Saccharomyces cerevisiae S288C: one gene and its partner. The protein of the gene in region 1 binds, or shares a complex with, the protein of each later gene. Each region holds a gene or a part of one and is shown in the gene's direction. Other genes may lie near its edges.

The links. The genes of interacting proteins can lie anywhere in the genome.
Region 2: the proteins of CSE4 (region 1) and AME1 are in contact, whole or in part, in a crystal structure (PDB 8T0P), measured with the Saccharomyces cerevisiae proteins. Residues at the interface, in NP_012875.2 of Saccharomyces cerevisiae: Ile34 (codon at 1,688), Arg37 (codon at 1,697), Ala38 (codon at 1,700), Leu41 (codon at 1,709), Arg44 (codon at 1,718); in NP_009770.3 of Saccharomyces cerevisiae: Asp188 (codon at 2,214), Lys190 (codon at 2,220), Asp191 (codon at 2,223), Ile192 (codon at 2,226), Asp194 (codon at 2,232), Ile195 (codon at 2,235), Ser198 (codon at 2,244).

What each region holds. Positions count from the first base shown.
Region 1 is NC_001143.9:345,575-348,352, reverse strand, and holds CSE4 (centromeric DNA-binding histone H3-like protein CSE4), read left to right. Parts: upstream 1-1,588; coding exon 1,589-2,278; downstream 2,279-2,778. Other genes in the region: serine/threonine protein kinase ELM1, read left to right, coding at 1-1,139; LPX2 (Lpx2p), read left to right, coding at 2,733-2,778. UniProt on the Saccharomyces cerevisiae protein: Histone H3-like nucleosomal protein that is specifically found in centromeric nucleosomes. Replaces conventional H3 in the nucleosome core of centromeric chromatin that serves as an assembly site for the inner kinetochore.
Region 2 is NC_001134.8:645,658-648,784, reverse strand, and holds AME1 (Ame1p), read left to right. Parts: upstream 1-1,652; coding exon 1,653-2,627; downstream 2,628-3,127. Other genes in the region: NGR1 (Ngr1p), read right to left, coding at 1-899; ERV15 (Erv15p), read right to left, coding at 2,807-3,127.

The sequences.
Region 1 (2,778 bases):
CGTCCAATATTTTATTGGATGAAGAAGAAAAAGTAGCGAAACTTTCTGATTTTGGAAGTTGTATTTTCACTCCCCAATCATTACCTTTCAGCGATGCTAATTTTGAAGATTGTTTTCAGAGGGAATTGAACAAAATTGTTGGTACTCCGGCATTTATTGCACCAGAGCTATGTCATTTGGGCAATTCCAAAAGAGATTTTGTGACGGATGGCTTTAAGTTGGATATTTGGTCATTGGGAGTGACACTATACTGCTTACTGTACAACGAGCTGCCATTTTTCGGGGAAAATGAATTCGAAACCTACCACAAAATCATCGAAGTATCATTGAGTTCCAAAATAAATGGTAATACTTTAAACGATTTAGTCATTAAAAGGTTATTGGAGAAAGACGTTACTTTACGCATAAGTATTCAGGATTTAGTAAAGGTTTTGTCGCGTGACCAGCCCATAGATTCTAGGAATCACAGTCAAATTTCATCGTCCAGTGTGAACCCCGTAAGAAACGAAGGTCCTGTAAGAAGATTTTTTGGTAGGCTACTGACTAAAAAAGGAAAGAAAAAGACCTCAGGAAAAGGGAAAGACAAGGTATTGGTATCTGCAACTAGTAAAGTAACACCTTCGATACATATCGACGAGGAACCGGATAAAGAATGTTTTTCGACTACGGTCCTTAGATCTTCGCCAGACTCGAGCGATTATTGTTCATCGTTAGGGGAGGAAGCCATTCAGGTTACGGATTTCTTAGATACTTTTTGTAGGTCAAATGAAAGCTTACCTAATTTGACTGTGAATAATGATAAGCAGAATTCGGACATGAAAACTGACAGAAGCGAGTCATCCTCTCATTCGTCATTGAAAATCCCAACACCTATCAAAGCCATGATAAGACTAAAGAGTTCCCCTAAAGAGAACGGGAACAGAACCCATATTAATTGCTCACAGGACAAACCGAGTTCCCCACTAATGGATAGGACTGTTGGAAAGCGCACGGTTAACAATTCAGGGGCTAGAAAGCTTGCTCATTCAAGTAATATTCTCAACTTTAAAGCATACATAAATTCGGAAGATAGTGACATTCGAGAAACAGTAGAAGATGTAAAAACGTATCTGAACTTTGCAGATAATGGTCAAATATAGATGAAACTACAGGATGATATCTGTCGGATTGGGTTAGCTGATAATCGTATAGCCGATGTGAAATATGATTATTAATTGATTTACTTGGTTATGGTAAATACATAAATATATATATAGAAACGGCAAATTACCCACATTTGCATTTGTATTAATAACACTAAAGATAATATTCATAATATACCATCATTGATAATTGAAATCGACATCAACATTTATCAATTGAGAGTTTAGTGGTCTTCTATTGCGAGAATATCGAACGATATGATTTATCTTGATCCCACTGTGTCGCGAAATCGCGGAAGTAAATTGAAAACAAAAGAAAAACAAAACTTCATCGATAAATATTGAGAAAACATCTCTTAAAAACAGTAGTAGATAATCTTGAGAATTTACTTTATAAAAAACAGAAGAAGGACTGAATATAGAAAGAATACTAATATAACATAATCATGTCAAGTAAACAACAATGGGTTAGTTCTGCTATTCAAAGTGATTCGAGTGGAAGATCACTCAGTAACGTCAACAGGCTTGCAGGAGACCAACAATCTATTAACGATCGTGCGTTATCGTTATTGCAGAGAACAAGAGCGACAAAGAACCTGTTTCCAAGAAGAGAGGAAAGAAGACGTTATGAAAGCTCAAAAAGTGACCTAGATATCGAAACAGACTACGAAGACCAAGCAGGTAATCTAGAAATCGAGACAGAAAATGAAGAAGAAGCTGAAATGGAAACTGAAGTACCTGCACCAGTGCGAACTCATTCATATGCCTTAGACAGATATGTTAGACAGAAAAGGAGGGAAAAACAAAGAAAGCAGAGCTTAAAGCGCGTCGAAAAGAAATATACTCCTAGTGAATTAGCTCTGTACGAAATTCGAAAATACCAACGTTCCACGGATTTATTAATCTCCAAAATTCCATTTGCAAGGCTAGTGAAAGAAGTTACAGACGAGTTTACAACTAAAGATCAGGATTTACGTTGGCAGTCAATGGCGATTATGGCGTTACAGGAAGCAAGCGAAGCGTATCTGGTAGGATTATTGGAACATACAAACCTCTTGGCGCTGCATGCAAAAAGAATTACTATAATGAAGAAAGACATGCAACTAGCAAGAAGAATCAGGGGACAGTTTATTTAGTGATATTTGTGCTTCAGGGCTGGAGCCGATTTTTCCCTTTTTCGGGGTTTATATTGACTTAAGGTACTTTAAATGTTTTAAATAAGGTTATTATAAGGTCATATTAGCATACCTTTCGGTTCGACAAGTGCTCTCCGCTGTTGACAGTTTTTTTTTCATGTTCACTTGTTGGCTTTGTAAGACATTTTTGGCAGTCCCCTATATTTCGCGATGAAGCTCCAAATCAAAGGTTAAGGGTAGAGGTTATTTCTTTTTCAGACTGATTAAGGGATACTTCTGCAGGATATACATGATGGAAAATGATGCACTCAAAGATGGTATTTAACACATGAAAATCTTCATAGAAAGCACCATGTTTTCTACAATGTCTAAACAAAAGTGATCACATGAGTTCAAATCAGTAGTTTTAGAGTGTGATTGACAATAAAACTTTAGGAACAAGTACAATACTATAATGTCACTAATATCTGCGTTGCAAACCACCGATGTGGAATCTGTCC
Region 2 (3,127 bases), on another chromosome or scaffold:
TCCTCCTGATCTAGCTGCTGATGCTGTTGCTGCAATTGTTGTTGCTGTTGTTGTTGTTCCTGTAACTGCAGCATCATATTATTTCTTGGCGTGGCATAAGCGACTCTTAAGGCCCTTCCTTGAAACCATTTCCCACTCATCTCAATCAGTGCCCTGCGGCGCTCATCTTCATCACCGAATCTGACAAATCCAAAACAACGAGATGATCCTGTTAAAGGGTCAGTCATCACGCGGACGGTTTTAACAGATTTGAACCTCGTTTGGAAAAGAGATAACAAATCAGCTTCAGTGGCGGTGGGAGAAAGATCACCAACAAACAAGGAAAATTCTGGGGTAGATGGTATAGAACTTTGTAAAGTAGCTCCAGACGCCCAATTCAATCTGAAAGTCCTTTTGAACGTTGGATTAGTTTGGGAGTTAGTTGTTGGGGAATAAAAATTAGGTAAAGGTGTAGCATTTAATGACAGGGCAAATTTAGCGTCCTTTTGAGTTTCAAATTCGACAAAACAGTATCCGGCATGATGTAATTGAGTAGTGGAAGGATCAATGAAGGATATTCCATTAATATTAATCATTTGGGAATTATCTAACTGATCAGTGCTGTTTGATGCAGATTGCTGGTTTTCAGCATTCTCCTCACTTGTGTTGTTATTACTACTTGAGGTGGAGCTACAAGGAATCAACAAATTTTTTTTGGCTCTAATTAGTTTAACGATAACTTTTTTATCCAGTTTTGACCATATCTCCTCAATCGTGGCCTCGTCGAAGGACGGATCCAAATCTCCCATCCATAACGTTCTTGGGGGTTCAGTAGAAGTTTCCACTGTGGATGAAGGAGGCAATGGAATAATATATGGATTTTCCTGTCTTTGGGAGGCGTTAGCAACGTTAGACATCATTTGTGTAAATTTTTCAGGCAAAAATCGATGGCGAAGGATATGAAAAAGCTGTAATATTTAAAAGATCCAATAATAGTAAAAACAATATAAATCAGAACGAAAGGGAAAGAAAAAAGCCTCCTTTATTAATATTGGAACAGGAAGAGAATATCAAAAAATGAACCGGGAAAAAAATGGAATTACAATATATGACAATATAACAGATTCGATCACGAGAAATCAGAATATTTGGAACTAGGATATAACACGCAGATGGTTTTCCGTACAACTATGAAGAGTCAGAGAAAAAAAAAAATAGTGAATAAGAATGGTAATCTCTTTTATTGCTTCTTTGTCGACTGCGTCTATGTATATTGGTTCTAAAGGGAACAGGGTATGATAACCAGATTTAATTACAAATATGCTTATTTTCACTTTTAATGGAGTGTATGAAGGTGCGAAACTGCTTGCTTGACTAAGATTTGGTCTTGAATACAAGTTTGGGGAACGCTTTTTGGAACGGCACTATCGCCCCTTCACAGCCGTTTGAAGCTGGTAGAAAATATTTTATCGTGTTGTACGGAGAAATTTAATGGTGTATCCAAATATTGTTAAAGGACTAGTAGAAATGATAATGATTGATTTCATTAGCTATTATGGCAAGGGTCAACATCGTTGCAGTATAAGAAGCGATTGCTCTCATTTTTTTACGTGTCCTGTGTTGCTCTGTATTGTCTTGACTATTTGCGTGTTCATTTAAAGAAAAACCTCAGTATGGATAGAGACACTAAATTAGCTTTTAGGCTGAGGGGCAGTCATTCAAGAAGGACAGACGATATAGATGATGATGTTATTGTATTTAAGACGCCAAATGCTGTTTATAGAGAGGAGAACTCACCTATTCAATCTCCTGTTCAACCCATTTTGTCTTCACCAAAACTTGCGAATTCTTTCGAGTTTCCTATTACCACTAATAACGTAAATGCGCAGGACCGTCATGAACATGGGTATCAGCCCTTGGATGCAGAAGACTATCCCATGATCGACTCTGAAAATAAAAGTCTTATAAGCGAATCGCCGCAAAATGTTAGAAATGATGAAGACCTTACTACTCGTTACAATTTCGATGATATACCCATTAGACAGCTATCATCGTCTATCACTTCTGTGACCACAATTGATGTTTTATCTTCTTTATTCATAAACTTATTTGAAAATGATTTGATTCCGCAAGCTTTGAAGGATTTCAATAAAAGTGATGATGATCAATTTAGGAAACTATTGTACAAATTAGATCTGCGACTCTTTCAAACGATATCAGACCAAATGACCAGAGACTTGAAAGACATATTAGATATCAACGTGTCGAATAATGAGCTCTGCTACCAACTGAAGCAGGTACTTGCTCGAAAAGAAGATTTGAACCAGCAGATAATATCGGTACGAAATGAAATTCAAGAGTTGAAAGCCGGTAAAGACTGGCATGACTTACAAAATGAACAAGCCAAACTGAACGACAAAGTGAAGCTAAATAAGAGGCTAAATGATTTGACTTCTACTTTGCTAGGCAAATACGAGGGAGATCGCAAAATTATGAGCCAAGATAGCGAGGACGATTCAATACGGGATGACTCAAATATTCTGGATATTGCACATTTCGTAGACTTGATGGATCCATATAACGGACTTCTGAAAAAGATAAATAAAATTAATGAAAATCTTTCTAACGAATTACAACCAAGTCTATAGGGAATTGGTTCAAAAGATGTATATATATATATATATATATATATATGTATGTATATATGTATATATGTATATATGTATTACTTCCATACTAAGGAAGTTGTGTTATAAGGTCATTTTTATGTGGTAGACATACTTCATAGATATGCACAAATCTCTCTTTTTTTTTCCTGTTGTCGCTATTAGCTTATCAAATTTGCATCATTTTCAAGTAACGCTGTGACCATTCTGTAGAAGTAGAAAAAGAATATGAGAAGGTAAAATCCCAATTTTAAAAAGCATTCAATTTTGCATCTACCCAATTTTCTGAAAATATCCGTGGCGTCCAGTAGATGTGTTTTCTTGTAGACTTTACTTGCGTTATATGCTAGAACAGGGACATTCAAGAGAAATACGAACCAGTACCCGTTAAAAAGAAACAATGCAGAAATGAAAGCTTGTAGAATTGCCTCTGGTACACTCAACCTATTCACCCTCTTACACAGTTCGATTGAGTTGATATA